2 linked regions of the Xenopus tropicalis genome follow. The protein of the gene in region 1 interacts with the protein of each later gene in a biochemical or structural test. Links are inferred from orthologs where the notes say so. Each region holds a gene or a part of one and is shown in the gene's direction. Other genes may lie near its edges.

Region 1 (17,694 bases):
TATGTTCTGCAAATATGAAAATGGTCCTTTATGGTCTGCAAATATATAAAAAAAAACTACACAGGCAAGACTGAAGGGTGGGTTTTAAAATGTAATTGTATCTTATATATCAATTTACACAATCTTTTGGACACAATGTACTGTGACTTTAAGCCTGGGCCACACAAGGGCTTAGTCCTCTTATGGCTAAATGTGTCTTGCGTTGGCGAAACTATGTATTTCATGCTTCTCCGAGGGCGGTTTTGTTTTGCAACACTAATGGGGGCAGCGTGTTCTGCAGAATTTCCCTGGAATGCAGGAAGTGGCGTCAGAGGGACTCTCTATTCCTGGTACTGGAATGAGCTGTTAAAGGCAGGCGAGACATTTCTGTGAGCTAAACGCCACAGTATTGCATGCAGGGGAAGGAGTGCATGTTACTATAGAGTGGCTTGCAAAAGTATTCGGCCCCCTTGAACTTTTCCACATTTTGTCACATTACAGCCACAAACATGAATCAATTTTATTGGAATTCCACGTGAAAGACCAATACAAAGTGGTGTACACGTGAGAAGTGGAACGAAAATCATGGATGATTCCAAACATTTTTTACAAATAAATAACTGCAAAGTGGGGTGTGCGTAATTATTCAGCCCCTTTTGGTTTGAGTGCAGTCAGTTGCCCATAGACATTGCCTGATGAGTGCTAATGACTAAATAGAGTGCACCTGTGTGTAATCTAATGTCAGTACAAATACAGCTGCTCTGTGACGGCCTCAGAGGTTGTCTAAGGGAATATTGGGAGCAACAACACCATGAAGTCCAAAGAACACACCAGACAGATCAGGGATAAAGTTATTGAGAAATTTAAAGCAGGCCCCTTGTAAATCCAAGGGGTTGGTTTGGAAGCACAGAAACACAGTTTTACTCCAAGCAGAGCCTCCTGCAGGCCAGCCCACATGGCGCTACCAAATAGCCAATCACAGCCCTTATTTGGCACCCCCAAAGAACTTTTTGATGCTCGCGTGGCTCACCAACACTTTTTATATCTGTATGTGGCTAATAAGTTAAAAAGGTTGGGGATCGCTGCTCTACATCATACTAAAAATTAAGTTAAAGGTAAACCACCCCCTTAATATGCTCTTTTATGCCCTCGTCAGCTGATTATGATATTTCTGCTTTATCACAAACCATGGAATGTTGTATTATACAAGATGTTTGTCTTGCAGTAATGATAAGGCAGTACCTTGTACCTGATGGTAACTTCACTGCTTGACAGGCAAATTCGAGGCAATTCTATTCATTTTTTGAAAGTTGACTTGGCGAATTCAATCAATTCAACTTCAAATTTGAATTGGCGCAAAGGCACTGTGCTCCACTTTACAGAAATGACGTTTAGGGATCATTTACGGATGGAATTCCATGCAGGTACAAACTTCAGCAAGCACTGGACCCAGGCCCAGACTGGTAACCTATTTATTGGGCTGGTGGGGGGCTCTTTGGGCCTCTGTGTACTTGAAATGCCAGGGACTATTTTGAAATCCCAGTCTGGGGCTGCACAGAAGCATGGCATTATGAATATGAACCCTGCTAGTGCTTTTTTTTTAGCCCAAAGATGCTCTAGTTAATGTTTTGGGACTAAAAAGTCTCAGTAGTTCAAATGAATTTATAAGCATGCCCAAAGTAGAGCTTCCACATTTGCATGCTATTCACATTTTCCATGCTGAATGATCTCCAAGCACTGGAAAACTAAGGATCATGGGAGTTGTAGTTAATACCAACTATATGTTTAAATCCCAGCAATGTGATTGGCTTTGTGTCTGTAGGCCTTAATAATTGCATTTGCTAATAGTTTACTCATATTTTACAGATTTGTGTCCATAAATGATCAATTTATTCCAAAGCACGACGGGACAAAAAATCAGGTGAGATCACAGAGCTGGACATTTAGCTAAAGTGGTTGGTTGCTCAGGTTGGTTCAGAGCCCTAATGTTTTAAAGCAAAACTGACCAGTGTCAGCGATTTAGGTAAGGGGTGTGGGATAATAGGCATTATGTACAAATAAATAACAAGTAAATTACAAGTAAATAACCCCAAATGGCTTTTTTTCCCAGAGGTGTACAGTTTAAATGTCTTATATTTATAACATTATTCAATATATATTCTTATAATACACCAGAGCCATGAATATAAATGTAAATGATATCCATATAAATGGTATTTAGTGATGTCATCAGTTATAATCTATGCTTAGTGATGTAATTTCTATCACATGACTCACTTAAACTTGTGTATCATAATAAAGTACCCTGTTGTAAATATGAGAAAATCAGAAGTGACCTTGAAGTTCTATAACCCTTATAAAAACACTCAGCTTTTGGCCTTGTGCTTTGATATCATCATGGAACTCCTCTGTGACTTAGAATATCCTTATATTTTACAATATGGGGTACTATATTAAATATTTAAACAATACTTAGTGATGTAATTTTTGTCACATGATTCACTACAACTTGTGTATTATAATAATGTATAATAATATAATTCTGACAGCCATTTGAATCTCCTGTGGACCCAGTTCCCAATGGAGGTGATCATGTTGGAGTGGGTGGCAGCAGCAGCAGTGCTGGGTGGATGGGTGAGGGAAGCAGTGGGGGGATGAGGGTACAAGCAGTGTGGGGGGAGGGTTCGAGCAGGGGTGAGAGGGCCCTGCACAACATTTAAATTCAGCCTTGACTTGTGGTCTGAATGTTACATAACTTACAACTCTCAGCATTAGAGAATGTGTTGGTCACAGGCCACAGTGGGGCAAACTTCCTGCTAAAGCCCTCCCCATGGCTGAGTAACGTTATGATTAAAGTTACAACTGTGTACCTTGTTAGCATCTCTCTTATAGCTGGATGATTTTCACCAGTATCTGGAGATTGAGAAGCTAGTAGTCTTGGGGAAAGTGGAGGTGTTGGCAATAAGAAGTAGGACCTGCATTAAATTTTGCACCAGGGTCAGCGACCCTCTAGCTATACCGAGTTTACCAGAGGTTGAATAACAAAGCGATGCAAGAAAGGTCAACTCACTATGGGGATTAGAGTCTAACTAGCCAGGGTATCGGGATAACCCTCAGTAACTGACTATGGCTGCTGTTTTCCTGCAGATTTTTATCTCCAGATCATATGATGCCACCACGCACTTTGAGACAACGTGTGATGACATTAAGGACATGTTTAAAAGAATGACAGGTGCTACCTTGGACTTCAGTGACATGTGGAGTTCTGACAACTCAGATTTCCAAGAATGATTTTATTACTTCTTTTTTTTTTATATAAAATAATTTGACTTTGCTTATGTTCTTTAACATTGCCTTTATTCTGTCATGTTATGTATCTGGCGTCTGCCTATTTCCTCTTGTGCAACTTAATTGTTTCAGTTATGTTTAATGTTGGACTATTTTGGACTTTTGATTAAGGCATCCCTTTGATGTCCAACATTTGGTCAGGACCACCCTTTGCTCATAGTAAAGTTATATATATACAGTGCTGTATCAGCCTTTCTGCCATAATTCCACGAATATCTAGGACAGCAAACAAGCCTGTATCCTAAATCTTACACTAATTAACCTTGAAACTGAAGTATCTACCAAATCTCACCCTAAGACTTCAGGCTTAGCCTTGTTAGCCACTGTTCTGGACCCATTTAGAGAGGCAGCACCAAAGTTTGGGAACCATTGGCTTCTCTAGAGCAGTTAAAAAAAAGGTTGGGGACCCCTGCTCTAGAGTCTACTGCAACATCTAAACCAGTGCTTCTAAGACGAGTTGACTCTTTGTTCCTCGTATTTGCCTCCTAAACGAATATTTTTTACAAACTTTTTACAGTCATCCTGGAACCATGCTATAGTCTAATATTGATTTTCCCAATAAAAATATTTTTCTCCCACCGTTAATATGATTTAGCCATCTCCATCTCTGGAAAATCTTGTGACAAGAAAAATGGAAGATGTGGCAAGTAACGCCATGCTAATTGGACACATGTAAAACTGGTCTGAAAGCAATGGATCAGACAGGTCGGGACAAACCAAGAACCTTAACCTGAAGATAATTGTGAGGTAGAATATAAGTAGGAGGCAATCCAAGAGTCACTTACAAGTAGGCTATAAAATGAAGACATACTGAAGACAGTGCCGTGTATTCAGTAATTGAGCAACTTCTAACTGTGTCTGTGTCTAATGGAATCCATGGTTTCAGGACTTGGACTCTAGAACGCCTTGTCTCTGTGTCTAACGGCATCCATGGCTTCAGAAGTTGGATTCTAGAACCCCTTGTCTCTGTGTCTAATGGCATCCATGGCTTCAGGAGTTGGATTCTAGAACCCCTTGTCTCTGTGTCTAATGGCATCCATGGCTTCAGGACTTGGATTCTAGAACCCCTTGTCTTAAAAGAGTGTACACACAGAGCTAGTGCACCCAATGTACAGTGCTTGCTATTCAAAAGGCACTTCGCTTTCTGCTTAAATAAAGTTTAGAGTGATCCTGGGTTTTTATATTCTGTTAAAATATAGACACGCCTTTTCCAAATGTCCCTTTTACTGCACCTGTTGCTAAACCACAGCTCAGTGTTATTTACAATACGAAAAGGTTTATCCAGCACCATCAGCTCAAAATGCACCTCGAAATGTTAACAATATCGCTACTCATTTCTCCAGATCTTTAGCTGGTCATACTGAGATAAATTCACTTATTTGGCAGTCATCAAATGAGCTGATATTTACCCAATTTGGCCAACCTTGTGGTGGGTAGCCTATAAGATCAAGTGGGAGATTAGGCATGAGATCCAGTGTCAGAGGACATGCCTATACCTAGAAGGTCCTTGTCTAACTGGATTTTCAAGCCTACTCGATAGGTCAGGCAGGCTGATTGGCGGGAGCCATACATGAGCCAATAAGCTGCCAATTTGGTCTGGAGGGGTTTGAGATGGCAGCTTTAATCAGCCCCTAGTTTGAAGACCTGAGGCTCACTTATCAATGTTGGAGCAATGTACAAAAACAAGGTACAAGTGCTCTGTGTATGAGTTCTACGGGGTGCAAAGTTTCCTGGCGCACTGCAAAAAATAAATAATTCTATGCATCGTCTTACTTGCCCTTTAAAAAATGTGGCTATACATATTGTCCTGTTTTTTTTATTACAGGGCAAGATGAGGTAGCATTCCTGGTCATTGCAACTCTTTCAATTCTTTTCATGTGGTTTAGATAGTGGTGCATGTGGTCAGTGATCTGGAGTTGTGACTTAGTTCAGATCTGGCCTAATCAGAAATCTTGATCTATTAATTTCCTGTGGTTTGTGTGGTTAAAGAGTGACTGCCTACTAGACCTGAGCTCTACATTTATGCAAAGAAACTGAGGATCTGAAGGAACTGGCAGCTTCACTCCTCAATAAGTATAAGCCATATTGCAACTCAGAGGTGCAGGTGTGAGCTGAGAAAATAGAAATTAGTTCTAAAAAACTGAGAGCTAACTGGCAGAGGGTATGGTGGGCAACCAACACGGAAGAAAAGTTGTTTTTTATTCTGACAGCAATAGGAGGTGCGAGTCGATGAAAGACAAATTATCATGAGGCAGTAGCGCTATTGCGACTCGCCAGCAGCTTTCGACAATGTAACGCAGAGTTACGCCAACTCGCCCCTCCCACAAGGCGGCTGCGTGATGCGTCACAGCGCGTACGTGTAGTGGTGACGCCAGTCTCGCGTGATGAGACTTGAGGCGTTAGGAGTCTGTGTGAGGCAGGAGGCTGCACTTACAGTTTTGCGGGAGGTGTAAGTAGCGATGCGGGACTGCGGGCGGTGTGAGGGAATGCGGGACTGGGGGGCAGTATGAAAGCGGTGTAGGGGAGACAACATGCAGGCACCCTAGCAAGCGCCCTCTCCGGGTATGCAGCTCACTGACAGCAAGGGGCCCGGTAATTCAATAAGTGCAGCACAGCCGGGCCCCCCCTTAAACCCCAAAAGCCCACCCCGCCCGGGACCACTGTCCCTCCCCCCCGCCTTGATGGCGGCCCTCCGTGCTGCTGGGATGGCGGAGTCTGTACGTGAAGCTGCAGTAGGGCAAATGGCCATCAGTGATGTGTTACTGAGCTGACAGGAGCCTGTCTATACATTTGTACTGGAGTGACAGGGCACCGGGGATTACTGAATTCACTGTTAGCGGGGGCCAGAGGGCTTGGAATTGCAAAGCAAATGGCAGTTAGTGAAGTTTCCTAGGGGCTACACAGAGTGGCATGTGTATGGGGCATGTTACCAGGATGCCATGTGTATGGGACATGTTACCAGGATGCCATGTGTATGGGGCATGTTACCAGGATGCCATGTGTATGGGGCATGTTACCAGGATGCCATGTGTATGGGACATGTTACCAGGATGCCATGTGTGTGGGACATGTTACCAGGATGCCATGTGTGTGGGACATGTTACCAGGATGCTATGTGTGTGGGACATGTTACCAGGATGCCATGTGTGTGGGACATGTTACCAGGATGCCATGTGTGTGGGACATGTTACCAGGATGCCATGTGTGTTGGACATGTTACCAGGATGCCATGTGTGTGGGACATGTTACCAGGATGCCATGTGTGTTGGACATGTTACCCGGATGCCATGTGTGTGGGACATGTTACCAGGATGCCATGTGTGTGGGACATGTTACCCGGATGCCATGTGTGTGGGACATGTTACCCGGATGCCATGTGTGTGGGACATGTTACCCGGATGCCATGTGTGTGGGACATGTTACCAGGATGCCATGTGTGTGGGACATGTTACCAGGATGCCATGTGTGTGGGACATGTTACCAGGATGCCATGTGTGTGGGACATGTTACCAGGATGCCATGTGTGTGGGACATGTTACCAGGATGCCATGTGTGTGGGACATGTTACCAGGATGCCATGTGTATGGGACATGTTACCAGGATGCCATGTGTATGGGACATGTTACCAGGATGGCATAGAAAGTGGGATGGTTTCTGCCTCACTGCACCCTGTTTTGGGTAAGAAGGAAGCAGTTACTATGGTACCTGGGTTGGTAAGGTCAATATGGGCAGCAAAAGATGTAGTGTGACACTGCGGAGTATGTTGCTGACACACAGGGCTGACAGTTAGTGATAGCATGCCGATTGGCTGATGATGGCTGATGATGGTAAGTAATACCGGGGTATCAGGGCAGAAATTTATACGGAACCTGCCAATGGTAACTGAGGTGAGATGGGAACACTTGCTTGAGATGTGGCTGCAGCAGGTACAAGGGAGAACCATCATGGATGCAGTATGTGAGGGCTGGAAATGGCATGGGATTGTGGGACCTATAGACAATCAGTGCTTAAACCACCTGGTAATATGGAAATATAAGCTGCAACAACATTTTGGAATTGGGTGCTCTCCCTGTGTATGAAAATAGCTTTACATTGTGGTGGTGCGACTCCCTGACGTAGGGCCACGTCAGTCACAATGTCACCTGGCGCAGGGAGTTGTGTACCCCCCAAAACGTTGTTTTCATTTGGTATGGTACGGTTAAACTAACACAGCCATGAATATAGGTGTGTGTTTGGGCCCCTTTATCAACATGGTAATATAGTCAGGATAAGTAAATAAGAGACTTTGTGAGCTAAGAAAAAATCAGAGGGTGGCAGGGCAGGGAGAAAGAGGTGGCCTGTGGGGGACAAATCAAAAAATTAAAGTTTGTGTTGGTCCCCATCTACACAGGTATACAGTATTTTCCAGCAATGGTGGGTTAGAGTAGACAGGTCTGTGAGGAAAGAGTGCTAGCATTAGCACAAACAGTGGAGTTTAAGGGATAGGGATGCAAGGGGTCAGCCTGGGACAGAGTGTGCCATGTATTGTTTGTTAGAGATATACTAGTGTTTCTTGTTACTCTGAAAGAATGGTGTTGTGTTACTTTGGGGAATCGTGTATTCTGTCTATCCCACCCCCTGCAACATAGTCACTCTTTTCACACTGGCTGAAGGAGCAGTTTACCTTAAAGTGACATTTTAGCAGGGTACTGACACTGGTATTCTTAAACCTTGCAATCAGCCTGCATTTGGTTGTTTTGAATTATTTATTCATCTTGTTTTGTAGCACCTGGGCTTGGACTATAAAACTGCTGTCTTTTTGCCAGGACTTTATAACCTTAGTGCAATATGAATAGAAAAGGTGTGGTAAGCAAGGAAAAATAAAATAAAATAATACTTTGTCTAAACTCAAAGTCATTTTTTTGGTGTTGTTGCTGGGGTCAGTGGCCCTGACAAACAGACAGCATTTTTTAGTCACAGGTCGGAAGTAGATAGAATAGGAATGCTAATAATAATTTTATTTAGACCAATTGGAGTGATGTTGAAGAAGCTGGACCAGGGTTGCATCTGTAGCTGGGAGGGAGTTTTTTGCAGGGATATGTTATGCCAACCCCCCTATTGGTATGTGAGATGGTTGTCGAGCCCAAGAGTAGAAGTCCAATATATTTGTGATGGTGCTTTGCCATTGGGCACTTGTAGAGAGCCAACAAGAACCATCGGATGCAGAAGTTCCCTTTGGAAATGATCCCTTCTTTGATACTATTTGATACACTTTCTGTGTAGAAATGTTCACTGTAAGGACCTGCTGCTTTTCTGCTCTTGTTGAGTAAAATATCTCTCCTGGGAGTTGTAGTAAAGTAATTAAAGGGCACATAAATCTTGTTACACAGATTTTGGTGCAATGGGTGCATAAGGAGAAAACCATGCACTTAACATTAAAGAACTGCATGGAACTATATAAGCTTGCTACAGATATTCCCACTGGCTTGTTCTTCTGGTTCTCAAAATTTTGCAGCCACAAGAGAACTACAGCTCCCAGAATGCTGTGTGCTATGCTTGTTCTTCCAAAATAGCAGACCTGGACAGGACAGGATAGCAGTGAGTGGGCCAGAAGGGAGTCAGAGATAAATATTTTTCCAGCTGCCACAGCTTATTGCGCACAGAGGATTTGTGTTGTTCTTTCAGGCCGCACAGCCTTGTTTGGATCAAAGCCTCTTGTATTTGTACAAAGAAAGCTATAAATGATTCATTATGGCAAAGATGTAGCTCTAAGATTTAACTCGCTTTATTTTCTTTGTGTGCCCTATGTTGGGGCATTATAAATACATGTTAATTCTAATTATATATCATGTGCATGGGCATAATGTGCATATCTTGTCCTCCAGGGTGACCCTTCTCAATGAAAGAATATTGGGTTGGACTGATTCGTTGGGCCAATTGGATGTATAATGTATGATTAAAGGTAAAGGGAAGGTTTTATCACTGGGGGGGGGGGGGGGGGGGATGCCACTCCCCAGTGATTGCAATTGATTGATTCTTTTTAAATCTGTTGGCTACTTTTTATTTTTCAATTTGAATTCAAGTGTTTTTTAATTCTGAAAAACATATTTATTGTTTTTATTCTTTATACAGTGTCGGACACTATATTCGTCAACATATTCTTCAGCCCCTGTCCAACTGGAGCTTACAATCTAATGTGCTTGTCACATTCATGCGCACTAGGGCCAGTTTTACCAAATTAACCTGTCTGCATGCTTTTGTAATATGGGAGGAAACTGGAGTAACTGGTGAAAACCCACACAGGCATGGGATGACTCCCAGTGAATCGCTGTTTTAATTTCCCATGGATGCTGCCTTTTTCTCTGGTGGACAGATAAGGAGGAGTTCATTTATAAGGGTTTTACCAGATAAAAATAATTTAATTTATTACAAATTTCCCAGGTGTGCTGTGAAAAAACCAAGGAAATGTTTTTTTTCTGTACTTTTTAGTGCAAGAAATAACTAAGGTGTATGAATGCATGTCCAACACAAGCCCTATATAGTGAACTCATGGGGAACAAGGGTATATTGCTCTGCTAATTTCAGTAAAACCTATGAAATATTCTTCAATACAATTTACAATACCATTTGTTTGCCTAAATTTTCCTTTCCATTTTGTTCCAGGATGCTGAAGCCACAGATGGCTACAAGACAAAAGCTAAGTGTCCTGCAGTAAAGGAGAAAGCACATATTTGGCTGCTTTCCATCCCCCATTCCTTTGGGCTGCTTTAAACCCCCCATGGTAAAATGTCTGTAGACATGAACAGTCAAGGATCAGACAGCAATGAGGACTATGACCCTAACTGTGAGGATGAGGAGGAGGAAGAAGATGATGATCCAGGAGACATTGAGGATTATTACGTTGGGGTTGCGAACGATGTCGAGCAACAGGGGGCTGACTCATTTGATCCAGAGGAGTATCAGTTTACCTGTCTCACCTACAGAGAATCAGAGAGTGCACTGAATGAACAAATGGCAAATCTGTCCTCCATGTTAAAGGTGAGCTGTGCACAGACATATTACTGCCTCATTATACATTTAGAAAACAGTGCATGCTTATTATGCCTTTTTGGGGTAAAAGAGTCATGCCGGGGTTATCCAGTCAACTAGACTATAGGCCAATTAGTCAGATATTATGGATGTTTGAATAGCACTGAATTGCTTGGTTTCATTGAAACATGGACAGGGCATCTGCAGACCAGGGAAATGACAGAGGCCACACCTTTCTTCAACACATCCAGGCTAATGGGGGAACAAGCAATTCAATGCTATTCCAGCAGCAGAATTGATTTTCCGGCTGGAGAGATTAATTTAAAATCCAGTGGGGTTACTGTGACCTTTTGGGGGACCAGTATTTGCTTTGCTTGTTAGGCAGAGAGGCTAAAAAAGCCTCATAACCTGATTATATTGTTGTGTGTATAGCCGCATTAAAGGCAAAGTTTCACCTATACCCTAAGTCAGTGCTGTCCACACAGGTAGCATAGGGCAGGCAGATTATGGCACACACAGGCAGCATAGTGCAGGCATAGTTTGGCACACAAAGGCAGCATAAGTCATGCTGAGTATGGCACACAGACTGTGTAGGGCGGGCAGAGCATGGCATACACAGGCAGCAAATGTAAATGGTAAATGGGAGCCTTCCGTAGAAATAGGGATCCTTTCTCTTTAAAGGGCAATGAACCACACTGGGGTTGCCATGTTTAGTTCCAGTGCAAGTTAAAATGGTTACCTGTATTTCTTAGTTTTGTCATTCAATGACAAGGAAAACCAATTTGTTGAGCAAACGTTGTGACTCTAATCGCTTACATCTAACCCCAGCCAGTATTCGCCTTTAAATTTTACACAGGCCTGGGGTAGTTTTCTGTAAGACAAACCATCACTGGCTTACCCCAGCTTCCCAGGCATTCCCTTTGCCTCTTTAGACCTGACGCATGTACAGTAAGGATGCCTCACTTTTGCTTAGTCATTCAGATTCTAACTCATACTTATCCAGTCATTTTTACTTTATTGGGCTTTATAGCTCTTGAAACTGAGCTGTCTGAGTGTTCTCCTGAGTCTGGGACTGTTATCAGTTGAGATAAGTGATTATTCTTTTAGCTTATAGCCTCATTGCGCTGTGACTGGCATGTACTGTATGAATGCTGTGTGCATTTGGCTGCCGTGCTGGTTAATGGATATGATACTTTACTTTGGTATGAGTAGAATTTATAACTGCCAGGCAGGACATGGCACATCACACACGGCAAGCTGTTGGACTTGATGATGACTGTGGTGCTAGTCAGTGACATCGTTACCTGCTTGCTAGGGTTCTACTTATCTTAGCAACCAGGCAACAGATAAGTAGAACCCTAGCAAGCAGGTAACCTTATAAAATTGAGGGAAAGAAAAAAGTAATTATTCACAAAACCACAATGTAATGTTTTTTGTTTTTCAATATCTAGCCCTGCATCCTATTAATTTTAAGGTGAGCATCCCTTTTTAACATCCCACAGCAAGAAAGGCACAACCCTAATAGCAAAAGACACACACACGCACCAGAATACAGCAACAAATATATTGTACTATGCAAAATGAGATACCAGCATCTGCCTCCCCAGCCCTCACTGAGGCATCCAACAATCACAGCTCTGCTGCATGTCTACAAAGCCCCCTTCCGTAGTCACCAAGCATAGCCAAAACTGGGACACATCAGTCTGTAATAGTTAACAGGCGCTTTGCCCATACCCATCCTTCTTCCCTTCTCGTCCATTCTGTCACATGATAATCCTTTGGGTGGTTAAGGCTGATGGCACACAAGCCATTTGTCACATTAGTGCATTGCAGCTGGCAGAGAAGCACCCAAAAGCCTAATTTTTGTTTTTTCTGACATTACAGCAAGTTTGTGCTGTGCAGCCTGTGGCTAATCTCTTGGTCAGCCTATATCACTTTTTTTTACATAATAGTTCTACATAGCTGTGAATAATCCTATTGGAGAAAAATAAACTTTGGTTAAATTTTTTCCTTGAAAGGAAGACGTACAGTGGTGTGAAAAACTATTTGCCCCCTTCCTGATTTCTTATTCTTTTGCATGTTTGTCACACAAAATGTTTCTGATCATCAAACACATTTAACTGTTAGTCAAAGATAACACAAGTAAACACAAAATGCAGTTTTTAAATGAGGGTTTTTATTATTTAGGGAGAAAAAAAATCCAAACCTACATGGCCCTGTGTGAAAAAGTAATTGCCCCCTGAACCTAATAACTGGTTGGGCCACCCTTAGCAGCAATAACTGCAATCAAGCGTTTGCGATAACTTGCAACGAGTCTTTTACAGCGCTCTGGAGGAATTTTGGCCCACTCATCTTTGCAGAATTGTTGTAATTCAGCTTTATTTGAGGGTTTTCTAGCATGAACCGCCTTTTTAAGGTCATGCCACAACATCTCAATAGGATTCAGGTCAGGACTTTGACTAGGCCACTCCAAAGTCTTCATTTTGTTTTTCTTCAGCCATTCAGAGGTGGATTTGCTGGTGTGTTTTGGGTCATTGTCCTGCTGCAGCACCCAAGATCGCTTCAGCTTGAGTTGACGAACAGATGGCCGGACATTCTCCTTCAGGATTTTTTGGTAGACAGTAGAATTCATGGTTCCATCTATCACAGCAAGCCTTCCTGGTCCTGAAGCAGCAAAACAACCCCAGACCATCACACTACCACCACCATATTTTACTGTTGGTATGATGTTCTTTTTCTGAAATGCTGTGTTACTTCTACGCCAGATGTAACGGGACACGCACCTTCCAAAAAGTTCAACTTTTGTCTCGTCGGTCTACAAGGTATTTTCCCAAAAGTCTTGGCAATCATTGAGATGTTTTTTAGCAAAATTGAGACGAGCCATAATGTTCTTTTTGCTTAAAAGTGGTTTGCGCCTTGGAAATCTGCCATGCAGGCCGTTTTTGCCCAGTCTCTTTCTTATGGTGGAGTCGTGAACACTGACCTTAATTGAGGCAAGTGAGGCCTGCAGTTCTTCAGATGTTGTCCTGGGGTCTTTTGTGGCCTCTCGGATGAGTTGTCTCTGCGCTCTTGGGGTAATTTTGTTCGGCCGGCCACTCCTGGGAAGGTTCACCACTGTTCCATGTTTTTGCCATTTGTGGATAATGGCTCTCACTGTGGTTCGCTGGAGTCCCAAAGCTTTAGAAATGGCTTTATAACCTTTACCAGACTGATAGATCTCAATTACTTTTGTTCTCATTTGTTCCTGAATTTCTTTGGATCTTGGCATGATGTCTAGCTTTTGAGGTGCTTTTGGTCTACTTCTCTGTGTCAGGTAGCTCCTATTTAAGTGATTTCTTAATTTAAACAGGTGTGGCAGTAATCAGGCCTGGGGGTGACTACAGAAATTGATATTGAAATTGAAAATTGAAATTGATAAACCACAGTTAAGTTATTTTTTAACAAGGGGGGCAATAACTTTTTCACACAGGGCCATGTAGATTTGGAGTTTTTTTTCTCCCTTAATAACGTAAACCTTCATTTAAAAGCTGCATTTTGTGTTCAATTATGTTATCTTTGACTAATAGTTAACGGTTTTTGATGAGCAGAAACATTTAAGTGTGACAAACATGCAAAAGAATAAGAAATCAGGAAGGGGGCAAATAGTTTTTCACACCACTGTAGTTCCAAGATTTTATTGCAACTGGAAGCAGTATTTGTCTCTCCCTTTCTGCACTGTTGTTTCTGACTCTTGAAATATTGTAGCATAAGTCCAGCCTCGTTTCTGTTTTCACAGCTGCATGCAACGTTGCTGTTACAATGTTTCTGTAGTTAGAGCCAGCAGTGCAGAGAATACCAAGGGGTAGACAGATACTTAATTCAGTAAAAATTCAATTTACAAAAAAATATAAAGCCATTGAAAACTTATATAATAATAAATGTATACTGGAAAGGTGCTTAGAAAGTTTCTGAACCCTATACCATTTTTTTTCTCTTCCAAGAACCAATACACGTTTTTCCATTGCATTGGTCCCATAATAATCCCTTTATTGATCAGCTGGTGCGGATATGAGGATGTTGACGCTGCTCTTTGCCATCTATTTTGTGCAAGTAATTAGTACTATATCTGGCCCCACGAGTGTGTGGGCTGGAAAGAGATCCGTGATAGAGTGCAAGCTCAGCATTATTATAAGGGCCTGTGTGGAGGAGGGTAGCTGTCGGCTGAAGCTGCAGCCTTGACTTACAATCCCTTTACAAATGTTTTCTATATCAGGTGTCATTTACTATTTTTTTTTTTTATATAATTTTTATTATGAATCTGTATCTAAACCCTGTTATTGCTTAAAGGGGAAGTTGTACCTGCAAAATGTCCTATTACGGTCGTCTTATGCTAGTTATCTTCCCAGGGATATTAGGCTAGTGCCACAGAGAACTGATTCTCAGCAAGCCAAGACCCAGCTGATTCTCTGGCCTTCACCCACTCCTGTGTCTGCACCCAGGCCAGTGCAGAGGCATGAAGTATATTTTGGAGTGAAAATTTCTACTTTTGCATTTCCACACTGAAATCCGCTCCGTGTTTCTGCACCCAGGCCAACGAGAACTGAGACAGGAGCGAGCTGAAGCCAGCGGATCTCCTAATTCTCTGCAGTCCAAGAATCAGCCCTGTGTCCATGTCCATCTGGCCTTCCAGGCCGTATGCCCTGGCTTCCTGTAATGGTATTAGAACACAGTAGCTGGCCAGTAGGACGTGATAAGTATTACAGGCAGCAGCCAACATGAGATACAATATTGGGAATGATGTGCTAAATAAATGTGTTGCACTGTAGAAATAAAATAAAATAAGAATAATAGTGGGAGCCTAGGTGAGGCTGTCATTGTAATAAAGTAAAACATTTCTTGTACAGGTGGGGTTTTTCGGATAAGGGATCTTTCCGTTATTTGGATCTCCATACCTTAAGTCCACTAAAAGATTATTTAAACATTAAATAAACCCAATAGCCTTGTTTTGCTTCCAATAAGGATCAATTATATCTTAGTTGGGATCAAGTACAGGTACTGTTTTATTATTACAGAGAAAAGGGAATCATTTAACCATGAAATAAACCCAATAGGGCTGTTCTGCCCCCAATAAGGGGTAATTATATCTTAGTTGGGATCAAGTACAGGTACTGTTTTATTATTACAGAGAAAAGGGAATCATTTAACCATTAAATAAACCCAATAGGGCTGTTCTGCCCCCAATAAGGGGTAATTATATCTTAGTTGGGATCAAGTACAGGTACTGTTTTATTATTACAGAGAAAAGGGAATCATTTAACCATTAAATAAACCCAATAGGGCTGTTCTGCCCCCAATAAGGGGTAATTATGTCTTAGTTGCGATCAAGTACAGGTACTGTTTTATTATTACAGAGAAAAAGAAAATCATTTTTAAAAATTAGAATTATTTGCTTATAATGTAGTAAATGGGGGATAGCTTTCCTGTAATTCGGAACTTTCTAGATAGCGGGTTTCCGGATAATGGATCCCATACCTGTACTTCTGTGCCTGTCCATGTGTCTGTGGGCATCTGCTGCAGTGTGTCCCCTATCTAAGTGTAAAACTATAAACTGAGCCAGTAACACCATAAAAGTGAAATTCTCTGGGGCATACCAGTTAGTTTGTTAGGCACCCTAATGTCTCTAATCACCAAGCTGGGAGTTCATGATGAATGGTGAACAACTGCCCCTGCTGCTACTCTGAACCTAACCATTGCCCCAGGGTTGTGTCATTAAGATGGCCATACATGCACCGATAAAATCGTACAAAACGTAGTTTATATTTAACACATAGTTTGCATTTAAACCTACGACTGATATCCGAACGTTCATGGAAAGAAGACTTAAATCTGAACGTGTATGGCCAGCTTAAGTCACACCAACCTTGACCCAGTGGATCGCAGATGCAAATGATCACAGTTTTCAATGAGAGCTCTGCCAGTTAGCTATCCCCCTTCTAGACTCAACTTGTACCCCATTTACATCTAAAATCAAGCTCAGTTCAAGTGATTTTGACACGCAGTTGCTGCTGAAATTTTGCTTTTGCACACTGCAGATTTCAGTTCAACCAAATGGGTGGGGAAAAAGCCTTTCGTGTGAAAGATATTTGTGTTATCCTTGTGACATGGGGCTCTGGGGATCTTCTGGAGTACACCCTATGTAACAGGTAGTCTCATAGTAATTGAAGTCAGTTTCTTATTTATATTAAATGATACATTTATAAGTATATTTTACATGTTGGGGAAGTGTTTATGTGCCTGTTTTTGCTTTATAAACCCATGTGTGCCAGATAAGCCTGTTGCTGTGGGGTGAGCATGTTGCTTTATAAGGACTGAGCTAGACAAGTGACTTTTGTTTGCCCCCGGGAGTCTGACGCACACAAACAAGCTTCACTACCAAGAGTGTTCATTAGAAAGAGTGACTTATTCTTTGAAATGGAACCCTTCACCCCACCCCCCCCTCCAATCAACTTCTCTTTCAATATGACTTCTGTTTTCACCTTTTTTTCCCCCCTTCCATATCATATGCTTCCCTGTCCCACTGTACCTCTGAAGCCCCAACTGGTCTCCCCATTAGTGATGTGTCGGTGGACAAAAAGTTGATCTTTATATAGAGCCACTGTTCTTTGTATACTTGGGCCTGTCCTGCCCCTTTCTGGCATCACTGAAGTTGGCAGGGGTGGGTGTGAGTATACATAAGCGCTACAGCAGGCAGGCAGAGGGGGGAAGAATTGTGCTTTGACCTGGAGGGGTGATCTGGCCGGCCAGCCGGCAGGGTTGGGGCCCACCAGCACATATTTTTTCAACGTGTTTTTTTTTTTTTTTTTAAGCCTTTCTTCACACTTCCCAGTGTGCTTTGCCATAAACTTCATACCACCACCACTATAGAGTGTAACATTGCAGTGACACTGATACTGTGGCACATGGGTCACCTCTTTCATTCACCAATTATGTTTCAGTTGCATTTTTCCCAGTAATGAAGTGTGCATGAAAGAAAATAGAAAGATAAAATATAGATATTTCTGTGCAGGGCCCCTTTCTGAGTGTACCTGTATTTAAAGGGGTATTACTATCTAATACCATCATATGTTATTTATTAGACCTTGTGTCTGTGTGTTTCAAAAAACTATTGAAGCATTTTGAAATATGAAAAAAGATTTGCTGCAGGTTTAGTCACCTATAGCAACCAATAAGTAGGTAGCATTTACTATGAGTTACTACACCTGGGCAAACTCTGTGCCTTCTTATTACATTTCGGGGTTAGCATTAAACGTAAAGTATGCCCCAGACAACGTAGGTCTCTCTAAAAATATAGAATGTCCTATTCCTAACAACTTGGCACTT
Region 2 (16,141 bases), on another chromosome or scaffold:
GAAACACAGGATTTCTTGTCTCCTTTTTGGGGAAGTATCAGACTTCCTCTCTTCTAGGAGGTTTGGGGCTTGAGTCTGCTCAGTTCTCTTCTCTCACCCTCTCCCTTCTCCTGCTCCCCCCTCCCATAAGAATGCATAAGAACTCACTTCCCCCACCCTTAGGAATGAGTGATCTGAGCTTCCAACAGCTATAACTGCAGCAAGAAGCTACCAAGACCAAACTAAAATGGCAGCTGCTATCAGGGGGAGCTTCTAGGGCTCTTTACTCAGGTATAGTAAAGGTGGCACTAATGTGGCCAATCTACTGGCAGTAAAATGCCAAAATGACTTTCCTTCTCCTTTAAAAGAGTTAATCTCAAGCTGCAGGCATACCTTAAGTCTCCCCATATTTCACCTGTTCAGAAGATCAGAAGCCAAACAGGAAAAAAAAACGCTGAGCTGAGTAGAGAAGATTCCCATAATGCAACGCTCCTGCACTGACAATAGGACCAGATCCGTAGCTTGCACATGCGCACACATCAGGAGTGTCTGGTTGCTATGGCGACGCAGATGAGGACAGCCGGGAGGAGAAGAAAGAAGCGAGACAGAAGGGAGAGCATGGCAGACACAAGGAGGAGGAGAAGGTCAGCAATTTTACAGTATTAAAGTATATTGTCCGAGTGGAAGAGGGGGGGCTTCTGGAGTGCCAACAGTTTGTGAGCCGGCAGGTCAAAGGGGGGGTGGTGGGGTGCTGTGTTTGTAACCCGGCAAGTGCGCGGATCAGAGGGGGGGGATGCTGTGTTTGTAAGCCGGCAAGGGAATCTCAGCGAGTGTGCCGGCAAGGATCAGAGGGGGAGGCGGTGGCGGGGGATGGCGGCGAGTGTGCTGGCAAGTGCGGGAATCAGAGGGGGAAGAATGCTGTATTTGTGAGCCGGCAGGTGTGGGATTCACAGCGAGTGTGCCGGCAAGTGCGGGGATCAGAGGGGTGGGGGGAGATGCTGGGTTTCTGAGCCAGCAGGTGCGGGGATCAGAGCGGAGGTGGGGGGGGAGATTGGCTTGTGCTTTTCAGCAATAGCCCAAACAGACATGCTGGACAAGATGGCGGTGCCGTTCACTGAAACAAGTATGTAGTTGTAGTATGTGTATCTCTGTATATATTTCATTAGGCAAGCCAGAAATATAGCGTTAGTAGTACTATTTAAAAGTGTGCTTAATAAATTTTGACTTTCCTTGTCCTTTAAGAGATGTCTGCTAACACCATGTCATTAGGGTGTTAATGATTCTGTCTTGGAATTGTATAAAAACTATATATTTTCAATGTAATATTAAATAGGGCTTGTTTAATAACATAGGTACCAAATTGCACAAGTGAATTTGCCAACAGTGTCGGACTGGGACCCCAGGGGCCCACAAGAAAACCTTGGACCATGGGCCCACTCTCCAAACTATTTTTCCATCTTTCCTCACTCAAACACTTTATTCTCCTAATCTCTTTTATTTACATGCTAGCATCCATCCATCTATTTCTCCTCTTTCTTCCCATTCAGAAATAGGAAATGACCAAGAAACAGGCCAAATAGTTAGGAGCCCACTTACACCTGGGCCCACCGGGAGCTTTCCTGGTATCCTGGTGGGCCAATCTGACATTGTTTGCCAATAAAACCAATTTAGCAATTAGCTTTGAACAGGCAACTACACGTTAGATCTGACTGGTTGCTATGGGTAACTGCACTGATGTAATTTAGCAGCCATGTTCATAAATCAACCGCAAGGTATCAGTGCATAAAAGAACTTGTTGGCTTAGAGGAAGCGGCCAGGGTCGGACTGGGACGCCGGGACTCCGGGAAAAACCCCAGTTGGCTCCGGCGGCCCAGACCCGACCCTTGCCGGCGCTCCCCCTGCCCGACTGTTCCTCCTCATACGCATTACATTTATGCGGACTCATGGAGGACGTTGGATGGGGGACCCTGCGGGGGGTTAGGGGGGCCCCTGGGGGGGTTAGGGGATGCGGCTGGCTGGGGCATCTGCAGGGCCCCTGGGGCGGGAGCCCCGGTGGGCCCTGCACCCCCCAGTCTGACCCTGGAAGTGGCACAGGTCACCAGTCTCAAACATTCTATGTTAACTGAACTGGGTGACTGAATGGCATCAGTTCAGTTGGTCTATCTATCAATAAACAAAGATTGTTTACCAAATGGCCATACAATGAAGTTTCATGGAAACTGTTCTATTTGTAGCAAAGACATTACTGAAAATGGAGGGACTCACACAATTACTATTTACAAATACATTTGAGAAAAAATATAGGCAATAAGGGAGGATAGGTTTTCAGCTAACAATAGTAAGCAGGTTGTTGAGGAAAAAGTTTCACTTACTTATTAGCAGGGGCGCTGCTGCCATGAGGTGAGTTCAGAAACTTGCTTCAGGTGTCAGCGCCCTGCAAGGTACAATAGGGCGACCAGATCACTTTAAAGGATAACATTAAGAATGTAGCAGTGAATTATACTCCTCTAAATATAGAAGGATTGTGCTTAAAAAATGTTTTGTTTTGGACTGACTTATTCAGAAAATACACCAAAACACCACTAGTCCCACCCATCTGTTCCACTACCTGCAGGCTGAATTCTCTGGATGTGCAGGGGAGCCGGCGGCTCTCAGTACATGGCACTGTAGGATAGGAACCAATCAGCAGCTAGGCCAGGCCCGGATTTGCAGAGAGGCCACAAAGGCCCGGGCCTTGGGCGGCACTAATTTGGGGGCGGCATGCCGCACCACAATCTTAAGCTTTTTCACCCATCACAGCAGTGGGGACCAATGCTCCGTATGCGAATGTTTACACCCCACGCATGCACGTTGGGGGGGGGGCTGCCAATCGCACGTTCGCGCATGCGCTGGGGGGGCCTTGGGGCGGCGGGATTACAAATCCGGCCCTGAGCTAGGCTATGACCTGATAGGGAACTGAAGCCTGTATTTGCTTGTGTGAGTGAAAGGCTGTGATTGGCTCTCCCCCTCCTACTGTGCTTCTGGCAGGGACCGTTAGGACACGCCCACCCTTCATTTGAAACAGGGACCGAGAACTGATAGGATCTATAGGGAGCTACAATAAAGTGCCATTTTTACAGACTGTATTCAATTTTAGCTGAAAGTAACACCAGCACCATATATTATTCATAATTGCCTACAAAATTAGGGTTTTTACCATTTATCCAAAATGTCTCCTTTAAATTTCAGTGACATGTCTAATAAATGCATGTTGCATTTAATTGCAATCAGTGCAGCCCTTCTAGCTGGATTTTCTAGACATGCACTCTTTACGCTAGCAATGTGGCCCCATCAAGCCACTCTAGTGCTAAAAAAGATAAGTGCAGGGGAGTAAGGGGGACAGCATCAATCAATCTCAGGCTGGCACTAGATGCTGAATTGCCCCTGTCTAGTATCTATATTTATATGAAAAAGGTTGAACTTGATGACTTATACCTATATGTACTATGTACATTCATTAAACATTTTTAATTATTGTACAGTTACTTGTAAAGTAGATGCAATTGAAAGGAGTATTTGTCAATCCCTTTCTGTTCTCTTGTTCTGACACTTGAAACAGTGCAGCTGTTACATTGCTACAGGAGTCAGAGCTGCTAGAGTAGAGAATATAAACAGCAAGATACAGCTTTAAGGTCAGGTCAACCCAGACAATAATATTTTTTTCCTAATAAAATAAAACATAATTTTTCAATATGAATTTATTTAAAAAATTATAGTGCTTTAAAAGTTATTTGCAAATGTAATTGCTGTAGAAAGCAGCATTTGCTTAACTCTTGGTTATGACTTTTTAAACAAAGTTGCAGAAGCCAGTCTCCTCCAGCAAAGCAGGTCTGTCAGCCCTCTTGTCTTGCATTACATTGCTATAAAAGTCAGAAGGGCAGGGAATAGAAAAGGACAGACTAACACTGCGTTCAATAGCAATAATATATACAAATAACAAAAACAATTACAAATTTGCAATAAATGTATACTGCAAAGTTGCTTAGAATTGAGTGTTCTTTGGGTTAACATGTCCTTTAAATATCATTTCTTTAACAAATAACGTTATTAGTTTTGCATGACAGTCCCCTTTAAATGAAAGGGAAGCCCAGCCCTGTGAGGAGTATTTTATTGCACAAACAGACCAGGGCAGACACCGAACGCTTCTAAATATTTCAGCGATTTAAATTCTCTGTTAGAAAGAGAAAAGGCAAATAAATTGCAGCAGCTAACGTGTCATCTCGGCCCTTTTTCTATTACAGTTGACTGCATATAACATATGTTATGGGCTATACAATTCATGAATGGCTGCTGAATCCAGCTATAATGCTTTGCACTGCCAGAGATTTGCCCCTTATGGGGCCCCTGTACTGACGGAATGGCTGTAGCAGCGCGTTAATTTGCAGAGAACAGACGGAGCCTATGGCAGCGTGTCCATCCGCAGTACTCCACTCAGTGTAGCCAAGGCTTTAGGAAAATGGATGCCTATTGATTGATCAGAGGTTGCGCTGGTTCTTCCCTTTGCCAATGCTCCAATCCAATGAATGGAATATAAATATCAGCCAATGGCGAGGCAGGCTGGGCTCACTATATAAGGGCGAGGGGAATCTTTTCTCTCACACATCCCTTCAGGTCTGGGGCAAGTGTTGGTCCTGAGGAGAGGTTAGGGTCTCCAGTTTGCGGTTTCCAATTAAGCAAGACTAAGGTAAGCCGCTGCAGTTGTGGTGTTTGGGGCAATGGGGGTTAGAGGGAAACTGTGTTACAGATAAACAGAATAGTTTGTATGGCAATCCTTGCGGGACTATCCAACCACAAAGCGCTCAGTGCAGTGCAATTCTCAGATATGGGATCTGCACAATGGCATCGACGTTTCTCATTTGGAACGCTGTGGTTCTGGGTCGGTACCGGGCTGGGGGAGGGAGGGTTATAATGTGAGCAGATGGTGAGTTGTGCGTCAGTGTGGCGCAGAGATTGCGGGGCGCAAGGAGCGTGTCCTTGGGAAGTGTCACGTCCCACGTTGCCCGCAGGGCGTTGCGGTGTTCGCTGGGCACAATCCTATGTACTGGCTCTGCCTTATGGCAGCTTCATTCTATAGTCATTCCCTTAATCCATGGACACTAGCCCGCTAGAACTGGGACCCCAGCAGCACATTGGCCCCGGGGGGCAGCACAAAGGGCATATATATCAATATAATGGTAAGCTATATTGTATAATTCGGGCATATCCCCTCATCTAGTAACTACAAATTCTTTGGCTGGCTGAGGATGATGGGAGTTGTATTTCAGCAAGAGCTGTTGGACATCTCTGAACTATCACATTTTTTTTCTCCAGTGGATAATGAGCTTTCATTCAACCTTTGGGCTCCTCACACCACTAGCTTAAACCATGAAGCCCACTTTTTTCTGCTTTTTCTAGATTCTTTTTAAATTGCCTCCTGTAGAATATATTGCCTACATGACTTGCCCAGTCTGTGTGGGTGCAGGCTGTTGGGTCTGTGTGCAAGCATGTGGGGCCCACTGGGCTCATTACTCATCAGCCAAAGGAAATGTGTGTTATATGTGCAAATGGAAGAATCAAATCTTGGGAACTGCTAAATACAGCACATTAGACATACAAACTCCTCGTTTACATTTTTAAGGGGTGGGGGTAGGAGTTGTATTTCCAAATTCAGGAAGGCTGTTGTTTATGTAAATTGGATAACATGTATTTGCATAGTTTATTAGGGTTTAATAACATAAATAGAATCTAGAATTGAACATAGTAATAGATCCTGCATGGTTTGTCAGTTGAAGGAGACTTGAAGAGGGTTAATTGACTTCAAGGCCAAGTGCAAGTGGGCCCCCTAGTGGCTGCCCTGAAGCAAATGGTGCAGCCAGTGGGCTCATGGCCAGTTTGGTCAGGCTGCATTGTTCAAATGCTTGGTTTTGGCATCACCGTTCTGTAGTTTTAAATTACCATTTTGATGCCACAGTTATTACTGATGCTAGTAGCTGAGAAGGGAATTTTATATAAACTGTGCTGTTATGTGGCATGTTCTTGTAGAGCACAACCTAGAGGTCAAGACTGAAGATATGGTGGCTAGCTGCAATGGTAGCCCAGTCCCGGAACCTGTGTGATTATGCGTGCAAACCCTGCACCAAATACATACTAGAAACAGGTTTTTTTTCTAGTTTCCCTCTTGTTTGCTCTACAGCAAATACCAAAAATACTTTAGCTTTTATGTTACAATTCACAGAATGCAAAGAGGCCTCATGTTGGGTGTATATATATGACTGAAGGCTCCAGGGCTTTGTGCATTAAAAATTTTTTTTTTTTTTTTTTTTAAACCAAATGCCTGATTTCTTAAGGTCGTAGATCTGAAGGTCATATACTGCTGTTTAGGGCAAAGGCCTTTACCTGTTTCTTCCACCCCGTCCTTTTCCAGTCTAGTGCAATCATGCCTTTCGGTAACTCTCACAACACCTTGAAGCTGAAGAACTCTGTGGATGAGGAGTTCCCAGACTTGTCTGCCCACAACAATCATATGGCCAAGGTGCTGACAAAGGATCTCTACGCGAAACTGAGGGATAAACAGACACCTAGTGGATTTACCGTGGATGATGTCATTCAAACTGGGGTTGACAACCCAGGTAAAAAGATGGAAGCTCTTCATCCACTTTGCCATCTGTTCTCCCTCATTACTGGAAGTGCTCTGGCTGTTGCACCGAAGGGGGTTATCCTGGTCTTTTCAAAGGCAATGGGTCTGATAGGCAGAATATAGAAGGCTCTTTATTGTATTGTAACAATTTTTTATGATTAATGGTCTCTCACTGCCACAGCACTTCTTTTGACAAGGGGGAGCAGATTCTAATATGTGTAGTATTTATCTTCACTCTAGCAATATCAGTATGGCGCAACCAATTATTAAGAGGTTGTCCCTTGAGGAAGAATACCCTGATCTGAGCAAACACAACAACCACATGGCTAAGGTGCTTACTGTGGATATGTACAAGAAACTGAGGAGCAGGATGACTTCCAGTGGATTCACCCTGGATGATGTCATTCAGACTGGGGTTGACAATCCTGGTAAAACATTTTAAAAAATGCACCAAAACTGAGAGAATGCATTTTCCTAGACTCTAAGTTTGCAGGTCTAGTGTTTGAAGCTTAGAAAGTAACGCTAACTGTTGTGGTGGATTTGTTGATTTGCATTTAACATGCTCAACTGAAATTAATGTGTTCCACTGCATGTCTCTAGTAAAGGGTCCCTTACATGCTCCAAATATCTTGTAACCTGCATGCTTATGTGCATTTATAAAGTGATTTGCTTTAGTAGGGAAGCTGCTCTCCTACAGAGCAGTGTTGTGAGGGCATGATGGGATGTTCACTTACATATACATGGGACTCTGCAGTAGCTGGGGGAAGACTTTCCTTGCCGACTCTATTGCCAACTCTTTGCAAGCAAACTGCAAAAGTCTACTTTCCAGTGTAGTGAAAAGCAGATGTCCTTTTAGGTATTATATAGTTATAAAGCATAACCTGCTGCAGAGCTATACAATGGGTTATACATCAATACATAAGCTATATACAAATAACAGGACATAAAGAGGGCCCTGCTAACTTGCATGCAATTTTTCATGTGACTGTTAAAAGATTCTCACTGAGGGGAAAAACTTGAGAAATGTAAGTACTTGCCTAATAACCATGCATGCACCTCCTGGTTCTGACTGTCCTTGTACTGTGTGTAGGCCATCCCTTTATTATGACAGTGGGATGTGTCGCTGGGGATGAAGAATCTTATGAAGTCTTTAAGGAGCTCTTTGACCCTATCATTGAGGACAGACATGGTGGCTACAAGCCAACAGATCAGCACAAGACTGACATAAATTCAGAAAACCTAAAGGTATGATATGTTGGGTGATATTCATTTGGGGAGGGAGTGGGGGAGAGGCAGGGAGGAGTTGCATGTTTGGGTTTTAGTGGATACTTTATTCAGAGGTTTTAAATAAGCTATTGGCATGCTAAAGCTCACTTACCAAATGGTTTCTTAACCAGGGAGGTGATGATCTGGACCCAAACTATGTACTCAGCTCTCGGGTCAGAACTGGAAGGAGTATTCGTGGATTCAGCCTCCCACCTCACTGCAGCCGTGGAGAAAGGCGTGCAATTGAAAAGATGTCAATTGAAGGTACCTAAATGCAACTTTTGTAGTAATCACTTTGCAGAGCACTTTGGTCTGTGTCTCTTCAGCAGTGTCATTGGATGCTGATCATCTATTACCCCCTTTTGGTGGAATATTGGTCAGGAGGTGGCCCTTTAGTTGCTCTACTGTAACCCCTACAGATGTGGAAGTGCAACCTCCAGCCCTCCGGCTCAGTTCATGTTTGACCACATTAATGATGCATGCAGATTCTTAACTGTTGGAACCTTTTAAGGAAGTCATTCGCTCATTATGAATCAGTCTGTATATGGTTATGTCCCTGAGGGCTAATGGTATATGCTGCACTTATATGGGAAATGGGTCAAAGATAGAAGGAGCACAATGCCATTTCTGGCTTGCGTACAACCACTTATTAATCTGAGATCATATGGATTATGAAAGTCAGTATTGAGGCTATTAGAAGGCAGAGAAATTGTGCTTTTGTTTAAACTTGTAATTTATAACCTTTACCTTTCATCTGTGGGGAAAATCACCATTTTATGTTATTGTGTTTCCAGCACTTGCTAGCTTGGATGGGGACCTAAAAGGAAAATACTACGCTCTTAATACCATGACTGATCAGGAGCAGCAGCAGCTTATCGATGACCACTTCCTGTTTGATAAGCCAGTTTCTCCACTCCTCTTGGCCTCTGGAATGGCCCGTGACTGGCCTGATGCCAGAGGAATCTGGTATGTCCTCTAATTTGTACTGTGGTTTATATACAGATGCCTGAGATTGTAAGTGCCTCTCTAAAACAGGCGGTTTTGCTTTGTTTATGCTGATTTAAAGCCATAGCTTGCATGCGTTGCTTGCTCTGCACTAGTGTTTCACAGTAATTTAGTATTGCTGTCAGGCTCCTCAATTAGGAACATCTGAATCTTAAGGACTAGTAATGAAATACCTTCTCATGATTTTTATGGAGTGTTCCGGGAGTAGCAGAACAAATCTATAGCTCACTGGAATCCCAAGTTTGATATGCAGAGTAGTATTAGTACCTCCATGACACACCACCTCAAGTCCACATTGAGCTATAACTTGTGTCAGCTGTTTAATGCAGAGATTGCATTTTTTGCAGTCGCTAAAGCAAGCCAGGAAGTAAGTAATATGTACACTGAAAATGAATCCCATCTGTCAGCATCTATGTAATGCTATGGCAGCCTTTACCCATCTGATTTTTACCACTCGCTCTCATAGAATAACTTCCATGATACTAGCACCTCAAAGATAAAACCTACATTTGCTTAAATCAAGGCACAACGACAACAAGACCTTCCTTGTCTGGATCAATGAGGAAGACCATCTTCGTGTGATCTCAATGCAAAAGGGTGGCAACATGAAGGATGTGTTCCAGAGGTTTTGCACTGGCCTTACAAAGGTAAGAGGCAGTTCTGCTTTATCCCCCATCCCCAGCCTGTGCAATTAGCTGTATGTGTAACCATTAAGGGCATTTATCATGTGTAGGAGGTGCGGGCTAATTGAGCCTGTGTTTCGGTTGGGGAAAATAATACTAATTTTCTGCAACAAAAAAAACCTGGTAGCAAGTGCAGATGACCATGCTGCAACAAAACATGCAGATGAATAAATTCCTGTGATCAAACATGGCCACCCACATCAGGAGCTTTCTTCCGGTGCAGGCAGCATAGTGCTTGCTACCAGCAGAACGTTTTTTTTAACTTAATCTTAAACTAATAGCAATTTCTAGGACACTGTTTTAAAAATGACCTGAAATGGGTGGTAGGTGAACTACATGTTTAATATGAGGTTGGTCCTCCCAACCCTCTGTGGGAATAGTGTAAGGGCTATCCTGTCATACATACCTACTACAGCTGTCTTCTGCAGGCAGGGAATTGACTTGCTGCAATGTTGGCATTCTTGTAGGAGATTAACTCTGTGCTATTTTAATCCATTTGTTGAGCCTATGGATGCCTTTAGGATGAGGACTGATTGGATCTTGAAACCTGCCAGATCAATTCAGCAGTTTAATGATTTCAGTCTGGAGGGACAAGTCGTTGGCCAGAGTATGGCCACCTTAAGTCTGCTTTCATCCTCTGCCAAACTTTATAGTATTACACAATCAGATAAGCAGCATATTATAAACAGATTCATCTGTTAGTGTCTGATGCTGAAGCACACATGATCACCCAAACTGTTGCTTGTCACTACACAAAGCTATAGCTTGTGCATTGTGTGGTTATCCATGAAAACCAGCAATGTTACTGGAGTGAGATGTTTGGGGGTTTGCTTCCAGAGATAGTTTTGAACTCTATAGTAAGTGTTTAAAGAAAGGATAAGCATTGTTAGAATAGCTAACCGGATAAATCTGGTGATATAGTGTGACTTCAGTATAAACATAGACCCAGAAAATGTTCATATCACTGTCTCTTCTGCAAGCATTTGCATATCCGATCTGGAATAATGTGCCCATTCATTCGCTTCATTAGCGATGCAGACCATTCACATAACAATGTGCGTGTTAGAAAATCTGGTGTCTTAAGTGCTTACCAATCCATCCTTTAGCAAATAACACTGTTTTAGTATTCATTTTTTACTATGATTCTTCTACCTTTTGACCCAATTACACGTAATAAATTCTAAATTCTTAGGGTTTTTTGGTCTCCTCCTAAAATCTAACTTATTCTCCTCCCTCAGATTGAAGCTATCTTCAAGAACAAAGGATCTGCATTCATGTGGAACCAGCATCTTGGTTATGTTCTTACCTGCCCATCCAACCTCGGTACTGGTCTGAGGGCTGGTGTTCACATTAAGTTGCCAAACTTAAGCAAGAATGAGAAGTTTGGTGAAATCCTGAAGAGACTTAGACTACAGAAGAGAGGAACAGGTAACTTGTGTGCAAGTAGACTTGGGTTTGGCTGGACTTGATAAAAGCTTTTTTACACATGCAGATTTTCAGTGCTTCAGGACAAGGCACCCAAACTCCCAGCATCCTTATGTAGGCTGCTAGCTATAGAAACAGAAGCAAATGCACCTTAATGTTGCCTGCCATCAGGCTAAAGCTACTCCTGGATAGCACATCTTGGCTATCCAGGGGCAAAAACATAGCACAAAATTGGCTGAGGGAGGGATGCCTTATGACACTTTCTGTTAGGAATATTTGCCAGTAATACATTTTACGAAGCTATTGGTTTGTACAGAACTCTTTGATAGTAACAGATTCCTAGAGAATGCATATGATATGCAAAAATTGTAGCCTGTATTAATGACTTTTAAAAACCAGCACTCTTGTTACACTTTCTGTCCTGCTACCAGCTGCTGTTTTTTTACATCTTTCATTGGCACAAAGTTTTCAACTTTGATTTTTTTTTCTCTCTCAGGTGGTGTAGACACTGCAGCCGTTGGTGGGGTGTTTGATATCTCCAATGCTGATCGTCTGGGTTTCTCTGAGGTTGAACTGGTCCAAATGGTGGTTGATGGTGTAAAACTCCTTGTTGAAATGGAAAAATGCCTGGAAAAAGGAGAGTCCATCGATGACCTCATTCCAGCACAGAAATAACTGCACTTTATTGGCCATGCTTTCTAATTTATTGGATGAAATAGCTACACTCCAAGACCCTGGGGACCCAACCTGCTTAGTAACACTGTAGAAATGTCTTCCATCTGTTTCTTAGAATTATCTTTCTTTTGATGGCTGCAATGTTACTAAAGATAGAAAATAAACAATGGTCTTGCGTTGACCTGTCAAAGGTGTCTGGCTTTCCATCTTAAATGGGGATATGGCTGAAACTGTAATGTGTAAATTCTCTTCTGCATTATAAAATTGGGTCAGCAAATAGATGGCCTTTTAAACAAACATCCAAACGCCAAAATAAAGAAAATGGTGTACATTTTATTCTGCCACATTATGGTACAATAACCAACTAAAATAAAGGTTAGAGGTGGGAATCTACAAGCAAGAAATCCACTCACATTTCAATGCATGGTACCCAAATACAGTTGACATGTGTGAGGTTATATCAGTCTAAGGGGTATATTTATTATGCTGTGCAAAAAGTGGAGTGAAGCATTAACGGTGATGTTGCCCAGGACAACAAATCAGCAATTAGATTTCAACAGTTGGAAAAGCAAAGCATGTAATTGGCTGCTATGAGCAACATCACCGGTAATGTTTTACTCCACTTCTTACACAGCATGATAGATATACCTGTGTGTGTGTGTGTGTGTCTGAGAGAGATGTGAAAGGAGGAAGCTGTGTTCTGGCTATTACTCTAAATATTCACACTCCAGCCCTGTGAAAACCTTTTACACAGCCCCCTTCAAATCTGAGAGAGATGTGAAAGGAGGAAGCTGTGTTCTGGATATTACATTAAACCCTCACACTCCAGCCCTGTGAAAACCTCTTTACACCACAGGCGCGCACACACGTGTGTACTGAGATTAACTGGCCCCTCTGCATTGTTCACAACTCTGGCTCAGACTGTAAGTGCCCACATTTTCCACCTGTTCACACATCAGACCGACTGTAGGAGCCGTGCCAGCATTGTGTCCCTGTATGTATTGCCTGTCCTATCCTGCCTGTGTGCGCCATACTCTGCCTGTGCTATACGCTGCTGGGTTTTTGCTGCACTATCACGATTAATGTTGGTATGGTCTTAAAATGACCTGGATGAATGAGAATCTTCACAAACATATGGTCTTAAAAGCTCTTGTGATAAGATGGGTGTGGTTTTAAGTGGATGTGATTTAAAAAGGGGAGTGGTCAAAACTAGCTCCCATTATTGGCCCTCCACCAAGTAGGCCAAAAAAATTCCAGCCCTTGATACTACAGACATTCGACAGCACTGACATAGAGGATTGCATGTGTGCCTCGGCAATGTATTTCAAGTATACTAAGATGCTTCTTTAGGAAATAGCCATAAAGTACTCAAAACTTAGCTAAGTGACGATTGATTTGGTAAGAAACCTGGCACCAAAGAATGCCAGATCTTGTGGCACTGTTAGATGCTTCTTTTCTAGGCTCTATACCATGATCTCAAATTGAATCACAAAATCTCTGTGCTAGAGAGGTTGCAACGAATAGTATGCAATCCAGGTAGGTATAAAGTAGGATACTGTGTTTCTAACTTTCTACAACCAATGTGTGTGTGTGTGTTTAGGACCTTTGTAAATACAAGGTCTTTACCTTCACTAGGCATTACAGAAATAACACTGGAACAGTACATTTCCATACTTTCTAAGGAGAATGATATTTCTCAGGGCCCTTTACCAAAGTGCCCTTCTTATAAAAGCACATATTAGTCTGCATAAACCTTAATTTACTCTATTAAATCCTATGTAATTTTATCAGCTCCGAGCTCTCAATAGAAATATACTGTTTTTTATAGACTGCACGACTAGCCTGTGTTGCCATCTATGTGGTATTACATAGGCTTGTGAATCATATTTTACATGACAACAGTGAAGTAGGTCATAGGCCAAAATGAATGGAGACAACTACTGTACCCTGGGTTATATCTTTCATACTGTCCATTTATTAAAAACTTTGTGGGGAACAGGATAGAAAATGAGAAACTGCTGGAATTGTTCTTAATGATTATAAATAAAGTTATGGTCAGTTTAACAAAGACAATCACAGAGCAAAGCAGCAAAGAAGTTGTACAGATATATATATATATACAGTGGTGTGAAAAACTATTTGCCCCCTTCCTGATTTCTTATTCTTTTGCATGTTTGTCACACAAAATGTTTCTGATCATCAAACACATTTAACTATTAGTCAAAGATAACACAAGTAAACACAAAATGCAGTTTTTAAATGAGGGTTTTTATTATTTAGGGAGAAAAAAAATCCAAACCTACATGGCCCTGTGTGAAAAAGTAATTGCCCCCTGAACCTAATAACTGGTTGGGCCACCCTTAGCAGCAATAACTGCAATCAAGCGTTTGCGATAACTTGCAACGAGTCTTTTACAGCGCTCTGGAGGAATTTTGGCCCACTCATCTTTGCAGAATTGTTGTAATTAAGCTTTATTTGAGGGTTTTCTAGCATGAACCGCCTTTTTAAGGTCATGCCACAACATCTCAATAGGATTCAGGTCAGGACTTTGACTAGGCCACTCCAAAGTCTTCATTTTGTTTTTCTTCAGCCATTCAGAGGTGGATTTGCTGGTGTGTTTTGGGTCATTGTCCTGCTGCAGCACCCAAGATCGCTTCAGCTTGAGTTGACGAACAGATGGCCGGACATTCTCCTTCAGGATTTTTTGGTAGACAGTAGAATTCATGGTTCCATCTATCACAGCAAGCCTTCCAGGTCCTGAAGCAGCAAAACAACCCCAGACCATCACACTACCACCACCATATTTTACTGTTGGTATGATGTTCTTTTTCTGAAATGCTGTGTTACTTTTACGCCAGATGTAACGGGACACGCACCTTCCAAAAAGTTCAACTTTTGTCTCGTCGGTCCACAAGGTATTTTCTCAAAAGTCTTGGCAATCATTGAGATGTTTTTTAGCAAAATTGAGACGAGCCATAATGTTCTTTTTGCTTAAAAGTGGTTTGCGCCTTGGAAATCTGCCATGCAGGCCGTTTTTGCCCAGTCTCTTTCTTATGGTGGAGTCGTGAACACTGACCTTAATTGAGACAAGTGAGGCCTGCAGTTCTTTAGATGTTGTCCTGGGGTCTTTTGGGGCCTCTCGGATGAGTTGTCTCTGCGCTCTTGGGGTAATTTTGGTTGGCCGGCCAGTCCTGGGAAGGTTCACCACTGTTCCATGTTTTTGCCATTTGTGGATAATGGCTCTCACTGTGGTTCGCTGGAGTCCCAAAGCTTTAGAAATGGCTTTATAACCTTTACCAGACTGATAGATCTCAATTACTTTTGTTCTCATTTGTTCCTGAATTTCTTTGGATCTTGGCATGATGTCTAGCTTTTGAGGTGCTTTTGGTCTACTTCTCTGTGTCAGGTAGCTCCTATTTAAGTGATTTCTTGATTGAAACAGGTGTGGCAGTAATCAGGCCTGGGGGTGACTACAGAAATTGATATTGAAATTGAAAATTGAAATTGATAAACCACAGTTAAGTTATTTTTTAACAAGGGGGGCAATAACTTTTTCACACAGGGCCATGTAGATTTGGAGTTTTTTTTCTCCCTTAATAACGTAAACCTTCATTTAAAAACTGCATTTTGTGTTCAATTATGTTATCTTTGACTAATAGTTAACGGTTTTTGATGAGCAGAAACATTTAAGTGTGACAAACATGCAAAAGAATAAGAAATCAGGAAGGGGGCAAATAGTTTTTCACACCACTGTATATATATATATATATATATACTTTTAATTTATAGTCAGATCAGGTTAATGTGTGTGTAGAGATAGTCATACACAGAATATGGACACATTGCACTTGCTCTTACTGGCAGGTTCCTCCCCTGGAAAACATTCCCCATGACCATTAGATAGACCTAACTGAAATAAATTCCTGCCCTAACTTGTTGCATTGGCTGAACTTGCCTTGTTCTATTGTCTGACTTCACTTTGACACATACCCAGGAACCTGTCATCTAAAAAGACATCTGTCATGCTGCTTCGGTTATTATGGTCTGGCGATCTGCAATACTGTGGAAAGTTTTCAAAGGGTAAAAAAACCTACATATTTAATTATAAAATGATTCCTTGAATGGACATTTCTAGAGAGGCATGTGCCTGAAGGGAACAATATGCTAGTTTATTAAAGCCGTTTCCTTACTAAAGAACCTATTCTCTAGCCTGTCCCCAAGGTTAGCCACCCTCTGAATATGCCTCTTTCATCTCTCTGTTAATGTATAACTACATCAGCTGATTTACATGATAAATAATGTTTCATGTGCCAAGAGGACTTAACTAATTAAGTGCGCTCAGTACAGAATGGCTGACTTTCCTTGTGGCAGAGGACATTTACATTAAAGGGGATCTAAACCCCCAAAAATATTAATACAAATTAATCAGGGTACATCTCTGAGCCCTTTTGCA

Evidence for each region.
Region 2: of the proteins of arih2 (region 1) and ckb, one has a biochemical effect on the other in vitro, tested with the Homo sapiens proteins (2 studies listed by BioGRID). The link is inferred for Xenopus tropicalis from reciprocal best matches to the Homo sapiens genes ARIH2 and CKB.

Annotation. Positions count from the first base shown.
Region 1 is NC_030680.2:136,616,015-136,633,708, reverse strand, and holds the start of arih2 (E3 ubiquitin-protein ligase ARIH2), read left to right. Parts: upstream 1-5,732; 5' UTR 5,733-5,776; intron 5,777-9,191; exon of another isoform or gene 9,192-9,268; intron 9,269-9,969; 5' UTR 9,970-10,092; coding exon 10,093-10,344; intron 10,345-17,694. Other genes in the region: rab GDP dissociation inhibitor beta, read left to right, coding at 1,846-1,900, 3,127-3,270.
Region 2 is NC_030684.2:98,354,502-98,370,642, reverse strand, and holds ckb (creatine kinase B-type), read left to right. Parts: upstream 1-4,594; 5' UTR 4,595-4,702; intron 4,703-6,421; exon of another isoform or gene 6,422-6,433; coding exon of another isoform or gene 6,434-6,626; intron 6,627-6,874; 5' UTR 6,875-6,884; coding exon 6,885-7,062; intron 7,063-7,724; coding exon 7,725-7,879; intron 7,880-8,031; coding exon 8,032-8,164; intron 8,165-8,694; coding exon 8,695-8,866; intron 8,867-9,428; coding exon 9,429-9,552; intron 9,553-10,826; coding exon 10,827-11,016; intron 11,017-11,509; coding exon 11,510-11,688; 3' UTR 11,689-11,880; downstream 11,881-16,141. UniProt on the Homo sapiens protein: Reversibly catalyzes the transfer of phosphate between ATP and various phosphogens (e.g. creatine phosphate).